3 linked regions of the Rattus norvegicus genome follow. The protein of the gene in region 1 binds, or shares a complex with, the protein of each later gene. Links are inferred from orthologs where the notes say so. Each region holds a gene or a part of one and is shown in the gene's direction. Other genes may lie near its edges.

Region 1 (4,223 bases):
GAAGTGTAAAAACCAAGTAGAATTTTGCTCCAATGGTACTAGTTTCTCCACTTTTTCCTATTTTATTCTCTCCCCTCCCCCTTTTCTTTGATACAATGTTTCATACTGCTCAGGAAGCAATTCTCCTGCCTCAGCCTGTCGAGTGTGGAGTTTATGACACACCATATCCGTCTCTTTCATTTCATTCTGTACTATTTGGAGATCTCCCAGAAATCATCCTTAACTGTCACGGTGTAGAAGGGTCAAGCTCATAATATCAGACTTTTTAACATAGTGTGCTGGTAGGGAAACAGAAATCACCTTAGTGACCGGAAAAGTTGGAACAGATCAGGAGGCTCTTGGAAACTTGGGTTTTTCTCTTCAGGATTCAGATTCCTATCTGGAGATACTGAGGACAGTTCCGTCCACAGATCTCTTGGTAACCCCCAGCGAGCCGGTGACAATCCTTTCTCTTTCCTAGTAAAGAGTATCCCATTTTCTAAGACAGATCTGGAGTCAGAGGCCACTTGAGGCAGTTTTTCCGGAATGGCGTTTTAGAAATAGGAAAGGGCAGCAGGGCTGTAGAGAGGCCTGGGGTGCAGCGCGTGGGCACCCATCAGGGCTCCCGCCGCGCCAGCGGCCGGAGGGCAGGCCGAGGACGCCATATTCTCGCCGACCACGCCCCGGCGGCCCGCGGCAGCCAAAGGACTGTGTTCGCCGGCCGGCCGGCCCCGCTTGAGCGGCCGTGACCGCTGCTCCCGGGCTCGCGCAGAGGGAAGCGGCGGGCGAGCCAGGCCGGCAGTCGGGGGCGGGGCGAGGAGAGCGCGAGCTGTCCAGGAGGGGCCTCGGCCCCGCCCCTTGCGCTGCGCCCGCCCCCTGCGCCCGCCCTCCTCCCGCCGCCGCCTCCCTCCCGGATCTGTGCTCCAGTTCAGAGAAAGGAGAAAATGTGTGTGTGTGGCGAGGGGGAGGGCGAGCACTGAGCAGCCGCGGCGCGCCTGGCAATCGGGCCGGGTGGGCGTCCGGCGGAGGCGGGGGCGGAGGCGGGGAGCGCGCGGCGGCCGGCTGCCCGGTTTGCGCGCGAGCCGAGTGGGCGCGGGCAGGCCGAGGGCGCCCGGAGCCGAGTCAGGCGGCGGCGAGGAGCGGGCGCGCCGGGCGCGCGGAGCCGTCGGCGGTCGCTCGCTGCTGGGCCGCCTCGGTGGATGAGCTCGGGCCGCTGGGCGCACAGCTTAGGGCAGCATCGGCAGCGGCGCCTGGAGGGCCGCGCGCTCTCCAAGAAGGCGGCGTGTGAGCGCGGCCGGGCGCGGCGGCCTTTCCTCGCGCGTCCCAGGCCCCCGGCCCCGCTCGTCCCCGGCCCGCCTGGGCTACGGGCCCGGCCGCCGTCCTCACCGCGGCTCCCTGAGCTCGTCCCTGACGCGCGCCCGGGCGGCGGGACTCCGCGGCCGCCGCTGCCTCGGGGGAGCGAGGGCGGAGGGCGTGTGTGCGCGCGTGTGAGCAGGGCGCCGGCGGGGCTGCAGCGAGGCACTTCGGAAGAATGACTCTGGAGTCCATCATGGCGTGCTGCCTGAGCGAGGAGGCCAAGGAAGCCCGGAGGATCAACGACGAGATCGAGCGGCAGCTGCGCAGGGACAAGCGCGACGCCCGCCGGGAGCTCAAGCTGCTGCTGCTGGGTGAGTGCGGCCCTTGGGCCCTGGTGCCCCCCGCCCCGGCTCGCCGCTGCCCTCCCCGCGCGCGTTCCCGGTCGGCACCCGCACCCGCGCGCGCGCACACAGGGGCCGAGGGCCGGGGCTCCGGAGCTGCGGTGTGCGCCTTCGGTGTCAGCTAGGGCCGTGCTCTGTGCGCCGCGTCTGCGGGACGGCTGAGCGTCCGCGCGAGCGGCGCGGGTGGGCGATGGCGTGCAGTGCGGTGGCAGGCCAGCGTCCATTGTGGCGCGTTGTAGGGTGGAGAGGGAAGGGTGGAAACGGGGAGCAGACTAGGGTCTGGATTCAGCTAGGAAAGGTGCTGAGGAAGCCTTGGCTGGCGCTCCAAAGAAACCCGGGTTAACGTACTGGGCAGGGGCGGGGCGGGAAGACTAGCCCAAATGTGCTCCACTGTAGCCACCAGGCCACTGACAGGAGTGACCCCAGAGAGTTGCATGGGCAGTGGATGGTGACAGGCGTCTCTTCTGCACCATTCCTTCTGGATAAAGATGAAGGATCCGGGAGTGTTGTACTGTGTGGTTGTTGACAGCAGACGGCTATCTTTTGTTTAATGAGGCGACCCAGATGTATGCCTGAATTCACAGCAGTTTCTACTGGAAACCAGCACAGCCTCTCAGTTACTCTCCTGGAAACAAACAGAAACCTTTTGTTTAAAACGGACATTTTAGTATCTTGCCATCTGGGCTCCAAGAAAAACGGGAAGAGTTCGAGAAAATTTCCCTCAGATCTCTTTTTTTTTTTTTTTCTAAATGACAATCCAACATTCTGCTTTAACACGAAATTAAGAAGAAAATGCTATTTTCAAATAGGAATTATATTGATTATTATCTCTGAGAGGATGTTTGGAATCAAGCGATCAGGGTTCATGTACAAGCTAGCATGACATAACTATTGCTACTGTGGTAGGAAGCATGAACTGCTTTGCAGGAACAGGCCTGAAAAATGTCTGCACTTGTGTTTATTTGTATGAGTAAAAATAACGCTTCTCAAACATTTCTGTAAGAAGAGGATATTGCTTCGTTGGTTGGGATTTGAGAAGTCCCCCCTCCCCTCTTTCTTTTCTATCTGGAGCAGTCCATCTGCTGGCTCCAGGAACCCATTACCTTGGGGACCGAACTGCTTATGTACTGGATCACTTATAGTCAGGAGCAAAATATCACAATCACAAATGGCTACCAATGCTATTTCCTTCCCCAGCGTAGGTTTTTTTTTTATTGAAATCCAGTTAGGTAAATGTGCACATATAAAGTGTTCATACAGTACAGAAGGCAAGGAGCTGAATAAAAAGGTGGGTTTTAGGGGAATAAGGCAAGGGGAGTGGGGAAATTGGGTAAGTCTACCACCCTCATCATTTCTGTTTCTTCTCATGGCTGAAAATGGAATGCCTTATCTTTTTCTTTCTTTCTTTCTTTCTTTTTTTTTTTTTAAATTGAGAAGGGAAAAGCAAGGGCAAGTGGAATAAATATACGGTGTTCCAGTATACAATTAAGAGGGAAAACATGTGTTTTAGAGATTTTTCTCTTAGACCTGGCTTTTAATTTTCCTTTGTTTACAATCTTCATATGTTTGTGTTTAGCTAAGAACAGGGCATTTGAGGTCTAGTTAACCAAACTTATTTGCCTGAAATTTGACAGCTCGAGGTTTCCAGGCAGCCATGAGTTAGGTTTGTCAGAGGGCCTAGGTTTAAATGCCTGAGAGGGGGATACACTTATAGAGATACTTAATTACATGCTGTTTATTTTAATAATATGCTATGCTTTAAAAAAAATGAACATGGGAATGATTTCCTGAGGGGAAATCCCTCCAGTCCTACTGCTAAAAATGTGGTCAGTGTAAGTGTGTGGCGGCCCTCCCTCACTGATTATAGATTGAAGCAGGCTTTAAACATGGCCCCACCTCACCCATCAGAGACAGACTGGTGGAGGTGGTAGAAAATTTGCTGTTGATTCAGCACCTGCATTTATGAACAACATTTTTTAAAAAACCCATACAGTTCTCTGTCAGAAGTGGGAGCCCTGGGCATCATTAACAATCACGGCTGTTCTCAGTGTGGATAGGCTTCTTCCAAACGCAGTACCCACATTATTTGTGTAATCATGATAGACATTAAGTGTAAACGTCTCTGTGTGTATGAGTGTGAGATTAGCAGGGAAATGAGTGTTGAACAAGGGAGTGCTTGGGGGAGGGGCTCCTTCCTGGTCTGCTGCCTTGGGAGTAGTCTTCATTTCCTAGTTCTTTCGTTCATTTTACCAACATCTATCCAGAGGAGATTACAGAATGTATTTCATCACATTATTAGTACCTTTGAAGGCTTCTGTACATGGAGGGATCATGCTTCATGTTGAAGTTCTGTGTAAAATTGTTTTCAAATAAGTTTTAACTCAAGGTTGACACTCAAGGAAACTGTCCTGCAAGGGAGCAATGTATTATTTACTTATTAAAATATGGTGGTATCACAAAACCGGTTATCTGACGAGATAATCAAGTGTGCCAGTAAGGCTCTTTTGAGTCATTATCCAGTACTTACGCTAGTATGTGCCTCATTTA
Region 2 (4,014 bases), about 54 Mb from region 1:
CTCTCCACCCAACCTCTGATAGCCACTTTGGGATCTCAAAAGATATTTCACATTGCACCAGAATTTCTTTGGAATGGAGGAGACTGGTAGAAACAAGGCTGAAAAAGAAAAGGAGGCCAGTCCTGCCTAAGGAAGCAGAGTCCACTTGAGCCTTCTTGCACACCAGAGGCGCCTTCGACTTTGTTCCCTGCTCTCTCCTGCCACAACCCAGTGACCCAGTCCTCCCTTGGCCCCCTCTCATGGGAACCCAACACCCTACCCCGGTGCTGCACCTATGCTGACAGCAAATGGAGCATCGTCGTTTTAGGTGTGGGTGGACGCTGCCTAAAGACGAGGGACGCTGCCTGCTCCCTATCTTTCACCCTGGTCAGGGCGAGAACTAGAACCCATACCAGAACCCGTACCACACCTCAACTCAGTTCATTTAGAGCAGTTCTCACTTCAATTCCCGGTCGCCCTAGTTCACTCCAACCCTTTTCCTTGTCTTCTTTGCGACCCTCCAGGACCCTCTTTAGAGTCTTTGAAGAAGAAGCCTAGGTTTGGAGTTTCAGATAGGAGGTGGGATATGCCAAGGCAGAAGCTAATCCTCACCAAAGAGCTAAGGTAGCTGACACTGTGGCGATCACTGCGGCCACTGCGGCAGAACTCCGTAACTGCGGCTCCAAACGTACTAAGGCACCTGCTCTGTAGCAGGGGAGCCTGGTACGCAAAACCGGATCACCACCGCCATCACCACGTCATCTAAACCACCAAAGAAAGATGCTGGACTCCACAGTAGCTACTCACTCTCCCATCACCCCATCCCTCCGGCAGGCGCACGTGTAAACACACACACACACACACACACACACACACACACACACACACACACACACACACACACTCTTCCAGAACTAGGGGCATTGGTATAAGAGGTGGGCAGAAAAGGCATCTTTAAGAGAAGAAGGGAGAAACTAGCGCGGGGGCGAGCCTGGAGAGCAGTCACTCAGGAGCGCGCGCTGAACTCTGGAGCCGAGGAGGCGCGCCGAGAGTCACCTGGTGGGACAAAAAGCCGCCTAGAGCCTGGAACCGGCTGAGGTTAAGGGGAGGCTGGTGGGGGAGTGGAGGAGTTGGGGCCAGGGCAGGGGGCGGAAACTAGGAGGGGCGGGCGATGTGGTGGGCGGGAGCCTGAGCCACCAGCGCCGCGGGAGCAGGTGGAACCGGTGCTAGAGCTCGCTTAGCAGAGCTAAGTGGGACTTCACTGGAGCCATGGAGCTGCTCAAGCTGAACCGCAGCGTGCAGGGACCAGGACCCGGGTCGGGGTCTTCTTTGTGCCGCCCGGGTGTCTCCCTTCTCAACAGCAGTAGTGCCGGGAACCTCAGCTGTGAACCCCCTCGTATCCGCGGAACCGGGACCAGAGGTGGGTGCCTCCCTAAGCCCTTCTCACTGAACCCCACAGCATTATTCAAGAACCCTTCTGACCTCTATTCTGTCAGCTGCCCATAGTTTTCCTTTGTAGGACTTCCGCGACTCACACAGAGACCCCCCCCCCCCCTTCACACACTGCGCTCCCAAGCTCTCATAACTCCAACACCTTCCCATCATGGTTCAAAACCCCCGACTTCATACTTGCTCTGCCATAGCTACTCAGATCATCCCCGAGCTCAGCATCACACAGCCGGGAAACAAGGACCTCTTCTTGTCAGCAGGTCTAGCTTTCTTTTCCTTTAACATCCAGTTCACAGAGCCAGTACCAAGGAGAGAGAGCGACAGGAACCTCTGAATGAAGGGCAAAGGAGGGCTGGGCCGGTGAGGGCATAAGCTCTCTGGACTGCCTGAATGGGAGATAAGAGTTGTAATAGTCTCCCACCCCACCCCAACCTTTCCCAAGAAAAGAGGGCTACATTCAGATCTGAATTTAACCAGCACAAGGGAATGCTACCTTTCTTGTTCCATTTGTCCCCAAACTCTTCTGTTCCCAGGGTCAAGTCCTCCACCCATCTGCATGTCTTCTCTGTCACTCTGAAGGTCTCTGAGTCCCTTCCACAGCGCCCCAAGTATCCCTTTTCTCACTTGCCTAGAGCCAACTTCCCCTGGCAACAGTCACCCCATTCCTTTGTGTCACCTTCCCTTCCTACTGCTTTCCCTCATCCCGGCTGCAAATGACTCATTCCTCCCATCAGTAGCATCTTCATTGCTTCAATGAACATCTTAAAATGCATGTTCCCTTTCCATCCCCATATTTGTTTGCAATGTTTAATGAACATTTACTAGGCTTAGTGCTGGGAACACTGAACGAACTAGACACAGTCTGCAGTCTCAGCAGTCTGCAGCCAAGTACACAGGGACAGAGAAAATCACTGCCTAGAAATCCCACAGAGGGTCTGATTGGAATATGGACACACAAAGGAATTGGGGAGTCTAGTAACTTCACTGAGGGTGGAACCTGGGAGCTCGGGTTCAGTAAATGGAAAAGGAAGGAGTTGGATTCTATGTTCAAGAAGTAAACATTGTTAAATTATACCCTACGTATTTACTCAGCCCATGAAACAATTCATGCTTTCTCAGTTTGGCTTTTACCCACTGTCACTTACTCTTTCACTCAGGAAAGATTTATTGGACCAGAAACTGCTAGGCAACAAGGATACGCATTTAACAAAACTGACGAAAACCCTACTTCATGGAGCTCTGAGTTTATAGGGGAAACAGACAGTAAGCCAGGAATGGTAGCACAAAGAGAAGAAGCATTGTGGATATATAAAAGGGACATCTCCAGCCTACTCTGCCCTTGGGGATTAAGACGGGTTTCCTGGGGTATGGATGTGATCAAGTAGGGAAATATGACAGAGAACCAAGTGACAGAGCAGAAGAGGCATAAAATGTCTTAGAGAAAGATATCCTGTCTCAAAAGCTCAAAGTTTAAGGCTATAGCATGTCTGTTCAGTATAACACAGTTTTTGTATGCTGGAACATGTACCCTTGAAGGTTCCTAATAACAGTGTAAACCAACCTAGAGTGTGCTTGGGGAGCTTTATAGCTCTTGCTATAATGTGTAGATTTCCTCCTGAGGCATTGGGATCCACTAAATAGTGCTGCCAGGATTGATTGCATGGTGTTGAGATTCAGATAGAATGCAGAAAGATACTTTAGAAAGCTATTGCATTACACAAATCTGGCTGGAAGATGATGCTAGCACAGATGGAGAGGCTGGCAGTGAGGATGCAAAGAAGTGGACGGACCCAAGAGCGACTTCTGGAAACGGAGTCAACAGAACCTAAACATTGATTAGAAATAGAGAGGGTGGATGAAGTCAAGGGATGAGATCCAGTTTCTGGTTTAGGCAACTGAAAGGATGTGGATGGCATATCATAGAGAGACAACCAAGGAGGGGGACTAGACGTGCATTTCATATTACAGCACCTGCTTGCAACGGCAAGGCCCTACATTCAGCTCCTAATAACGAAGGAGCAGAAACAGTTTTGAAAGAGGGAATTATTATAAACTCAATTTGGAGCCCATAGAGTTCAAAAATTGATGGTTACTCACCAAAGCTGTTGAATCCTGAGATCTGGAACTTACCTTGGAGATCTGAGCTGGAAACATAGACTTGGCAAGTCTTCACCTTTGGGGGGGAGAACCAGAAACCATAGGAATTGGCAAAATACTTTTAAAAAATATTGTATAAAATGAGAGCAGGGAAGCTGAGCCAGGACCCTACAGAAGGCTGGCATTTAAAAGCAAGGCAGAGGAAAGAAGGTCCAGGAGGAGATGTAAGTGAAATAGAAACAGTAGCCGTGTCTTTGCAGAAAGTGAGAGAAGAGTCTTAGCTGAGGTCAGGTAAGGGATACTAATTATTGCTATGATGAATCAGAGATGAACAAAATATCCACACCGGGGTTGTTCATACACAATAACTACAGAGAGGGTGATGTGATACCAAGACCTGACTCAGAAGGAGGAGGACTGGGCCATGGAGAAGGGGTTGCAAGAAGTGAACAAGAGTAGTTAGCAAAATGTCCAAGGAGTGGGGGCATC
Region 3 (4,015 bases), on another chromosome or scaffold:
TTGGGAATGTTATAAAAATTTTAATGGCAAAACATAGGAATAAAAACATATTGACAAAATGTATTCAATCATTTACAATACAAACAAGGATATATAGCCCAACTGGCCTCCAACTCTATGCTCCTGCCTGTCTCCGTGGTGGCGATTACCCCTGGTCCTTGGACATGCTCTACCACTGAGCTACAAACCCCAACCCACGCCTCTATATTGCTCTGGAATATGGCATCACACGCAGAAGAGACCCGAGTGGAATCAGGTATAGAGCAACACATTGTGGACGCATTTCAGTCACAGACTTGAGCTTGGAAGCGAAGGAGATTTACAAACCGGGTCCATGAACTGTTAACCCGAGGCAGCAAACATTCTAAGTCCCATCTCCAGATGGAGCGAGCATACATGGTTGCTGTAGGCTTTAGACAAGCTAAGAGTACCGAACCATTGGCGGTTAGTATTTTCCACACTCTAGCTCACACATCCGGGTTTGTTTAATGACACTGGTCGACAGATGAGCTTAAAACCTAATCCCAGAACGCGGAGTCCTTCCTGCCCCTTTTGACGGAGTTCACAGCAGTCTGCTCTGCCTCTACTTGAGCGAAACCTCACCAGATGTGCTGGTGGCACCATCCTGGCACCAGCACTTAGGAAGTGAAGGCTGGAGAAACGCCACAAGTTTGAAGTCAAGAGGGTAGGGGAGGCAGAGAGTTTTAGCAAAAAGGCAAAACAAGACAGCATTCAACAAAACAAACAACAACAAAAAAACCCTTTCATATCCGTCAGCTCCCACACTGCCTATTACACCACAAAGCCTTCCACACCAATTGCTGAAGACAAAGGCAACAGCTTAGACTTTCTAACATTTACAAGAGGATGACCTCACTGGTTCTCTGAAGTAATTAAAGGTTAAAGATAGTTTTGGACATCGCCCAGGCTCTAAGAACCCTGGGTCCCAACCTTCCTGTCATTTGCATTCCAATGGAGCCACCTCACCGGTCCAGCCCCACCCGCAGGCGACTCCAGCAGCCAAGTGGACGCTGGCCAACACACCGGAGCTACGGACAGGCTGTGCCGGGCTGGATGGCCCGGGGTGGGTGGGGCTTGCGTAAAACGGTCGAAGGGGCGTGGTCTCCTGGGAGGCGTGGCCTATCGCAGGTGCGTCCAGAGGCTCCGGTTTCACTGAAACGGGTCCCGCCCCAGGAAGGCTCAGTGAGGCTGGTGTTAAAGGAAGGGGACCCGGTACTCCGAGTGGGGCTCGGAGTTTCGAACCACTGGTGGCGGATTGCCCGCCCGTCCCACGTCCGGGGATGCGAAGTCTCAGCCTGGCGTGGCTGCTGGGAGGTATCACCCTTCTGGCGGCCTCGGCCTCCTGCAACCGGACCGTGAATGCACCGGGTGAGTTGGAGCGGCGGAGGAACGCGCTGGGCTGGTGGGGGGAATGGGGTAGGAGCGCACATCCCCGCTCTCTCAGTAGCTTTGATGGGGGTCCCTAACCAGGGCCAATCAGCCGGGACACCCGAGAAGTGCCCCCAAAGACATGCTAGAAACAGTCCTGGTCTGGGCACTTGAAATCTCTATTGGTCGACGTGGTTCGGGAGATAAGGAAGGAGCGCAGGCAGGACTCAGCCTCCCCTCCCTCCGGTGGTTCCTTTGCAAACACTGAGTCATTGAGAGCTTTTCGCGGACCCTGTGAACTCCGTTCGGCTGGGTGCTACCAGACCCCTGGATTACAGCAATTTGATGGCTCACGGTTGGGCGGAGTGAGTGGGAACCCGAGCCCTGGGAAGTTCCCACCTCGCGTTTTGCACTCGCACCCATCCACTGAACCCCTTCGTTGGGGGTTGAACCACAGTGTTCGAGACCCACTCGGGGCTACGGTGCCTGGCATCGCAGTGGATGCGCTGGACATGGAACTCAGTGGGGTTGGATGTCACGTGGTGGTAGAAGGGGACCTTTCCGACCCTTATTATATTTTTTCTAGACTTTTTTAGACTTTCTAGCCTAGAGATTTCGAGACCTTCCGGGGCCTCGGAGCTCACCCTGGTAGCCACCCAGTTCTAGTTCTGAGGCTGCCTAGCCCAAGAAACAGAACTGCAAGAAAGCGGTTCGGGGCGGTGCTTCAGTGGCCCGCCGCCGTTTTGGGCGGGTGGTGCTTCTCCCGGTGAGCTCGAACTGGCGCTTCTAGAAGCCAGGGAGACCTCTGCAGGCTGTAGGGTGGGGTGGGAGGTGTTTACTGCAAGAGATAGCCAGCTACACTTGCTAGAGTCATAAAGGTCATTTCTAGCCTTTACTTTGTCGATAAGTTGTAGAAGAACGTCTAACCCCTCTCGGTTTGCCTGTCATTTAAAGTTAGAACTTTAAAATTCAGAAGCAAAAGTTAGTGTGTGCAAACTTTAAATAAAAAAGTGATTGGAAGTGATTACTTTGATGATTCACCAAGTATAGGAAACATATCATGATTATTTGGCTCCTTCCGTTTACAGAATGAGGAGATTGGGAGGGAAAGGTTCCTAGCGTACGAGGTGAACTTGATTTTAACAATAAAAAAAAAAAATCAGGTTACTTGTTAACCCGAGTTACTTAATATCCCACCTTGGTTTTTCTCTCTGTATAATTATACTCCATTGCCGGTGACTTTCCTAAACAGTTAGTCTAGTAACACAGACTTTAGAGGCAGGGAGGTTTTTTCTCAATTGAAATTAAATCATTTTGGTTAGGACACAGGGCACCTTGACATCTTTGCTCACGCCCCTCAAGTCTGGTCTTTCTGTCTGCGCCTTGACTTCTTAAGCAGCAGATTGGGCTTGGTTTTCTCCAGCCCCCAAAAGATTGCTTCTCGGAAAGGGTCCCAACCAAAGATAAACCTCATATTTTTGCAGGAGGGGGTGGGGTTGGGGCACTGAATTGCGAATGTGACATTTAAATCAGCTTTTCTCCAACACAATCACTACTGCAGTCTCCCCCTCTCCTGCTCCCTCTCCCCTTTCTTGTCTTGCTGGTCATCTAACCCAGGGATTTGCACAGGCTGGGTAAGTGCTGGACTGTTGCTGTTTCTCTAGTGACACAGTCAGTCCATTTCCGTTTTAAGACTGGTTCTTTTTTGGTGTTCGTTGTACTCTTTTCTTCTTTTTCTTCCTTTGAAACAGTATTGCTGTGTATCCATGGTTGGCCTGGAATTCTCTATGTATAACCACGCTGGCCTTGAACTTGCAACAATTCTTCTCTTCTGAATGATGGGATTACAGGAATGAATGCACCACCATGCTTAGACAACATTTTTAAAGTTAATTTAAAAACATTATGGGCACTGGTGTTTTTGCCTGCATTCATGTCTGTGTGAGAGTGTCGGATCCCCCGGAACCGGAGTTAGAGACAGTTGTCAGCTCCTACTTGGGTACTGGGAACTGAACCCAGATCCTGGGAGAACAACCAATGCTGAGCCCATCTCTCCAGCTCCCCATAACATTTTCTTTTTTAAAATCATAACAGTAATATGTGATCACTGAAAAAGAAAAAGAAAGAGGAGAAATTTAACGAAATCATCCTAAACACCGGTACTTAAAATAACCACTACTAACATTTTGATTTATATCTTTCCCATGCTTTTGTACCTGTGAAGTGCATAAAAATACATAACATTCCCAGATTAGAAAGCCTTGTACAAGTATGGGTTTTTAACATGTAAAGGTCAATAACAGTTTTAACAGCTTTCAAATATGGACACACACACACACACACACACACACACACACACACACACCAGCGTCCCATGTATTAAGTACTAAACCTTAGGGCCTCCTGTGTATTAATCAACCACCTTGTCACTGATTTTACATTTTATTTTGAGGCAAAGTCTCCTTAAACTGCCCAAACTCCTTGGATCCACTAGGTAACCCAGGCAGGCCTTGAACCTTGGGTTCCATTTCCTCATCCTGAATAGCTATGATTATAGACCAGCACCGGCAAGCCTGGCTTCATCCTTTTTAAATTAGTGTCTCGTGAACAGGCACACAGGATGTTT

What was found. Proteins that work in one complex are often made in the same cells at the same time.
Region 2: the proteins of Gnaq (region 1) and Cckbr are in contact, whole or in part, in a cryo-EM structure (PDB 7F8W), measured with the Homo sapiens proteins. The link is inferred for Rattus norvegicus from reciprocal best matches to the Homo sapiens genes GNAQ and CCKBR. Residues at the interface, in NP_002063.2 of Homo sapiens: Arg30, Arg34, Asp35, Arg37, Arg38, Leu40, Ser198, Val199, Phe341, Lys345, Asp346, Ile348, Leu349, Gln350, Asn352, Leu353, Lys354, Glu355, Tyr356, Asn357, Leu358, Val359; in NP_795344.1 of Homo sapiens: Thr87, Val88, Thr89, Asn90, Glu151, Arg152, Ala155, Ile156, Pro159, Leu160, Ala162, Arg163, Val164, Trp165, Gln166, Thr167, Ile241, Leu245, Gly248, Leu249, Val331, Leu335, His394, Arg396, Phe397.
Region 3: the proteins of Gnaq (region 1) and F2rl1 are in contact, whole or in part, in a cryo-EM structure (PDB 9D0A), measured with the Homo sapiens proteins. The link is inferred for Rattus norvegicus from reciprocal best matches to the Homo sapiens genes GNAQ and F2RL1. Residues at the interface, in NP_002063.2 of Homo sapiens: Arg37, Ile323, Tyr325, Asp346, Ile348, Leu349, Gln350, Asn352, Leu353, Glu355, Tyr356, Asn357, Leu358, Val359; in NP_005233.4 of Homo sapiens: His108, Pro109, Ala110, Met114, Gln172, Arg173, Val176, Ile177, Pro180, Met181, Gly182, His183, Ser184, Arg185, Met265, Met268, Leu269, Met274, Asp275, Asn277, Lys280, Lys281, Arg284, Ala285, Leu288, Ile289, Tyr344, Tyr345, Val347, Ser348.

The regions. Positions count from the first base shown.
Region 1 is NC_086019.1:222,851,038-222,855,260, forward strand, and holds the start of Gnaq (guanine nucleotide-binding protein G(q) subunit alpha), read left to right. Parts: upstream 1-1,415; 5' UTR 1,416-1,510; coding exon 1,511-1,646; intron 1,647-4,223.
Region 2 is NC_086019.1:169,182,365-169,186,378, forward strand, and holds the start of Cckbr (gastrin/cholecystokinin type B receptor), read left to right. Parts: upstream 1-1,213; 5' UTR 1,214-1,248; coding exon 1,249-1,399; intron 1,400-1,608; exon of another isoform or gene 1,609-1,814; intron 1,815-1,921; exon of another isoform or gene 1,922-3,527; intron 3,528-4,014. UniProt on the Homo sapiens protein: Receptor for gastrin and cholecystokinin. The CCK-B receptors occur throughout the central nervous system where they modulate anxiety, analgesia, arousal, and neuroleptic activity.
Region 3 is NC_086020.1:28,517,154-28,521,168, reverse strand, and holds the start of F2rl1 (proteinase-activated receptor 2 precursor), read left to right. Parts: upstream 1-1,214; 5' UTR 1,215-1,301; coding exon 1,302-1,389; intron 1,390-4,015. UniProt on the Homo sapiens protein: Receptor for trypsin and trypsin-like enzymes coupled to G proteins.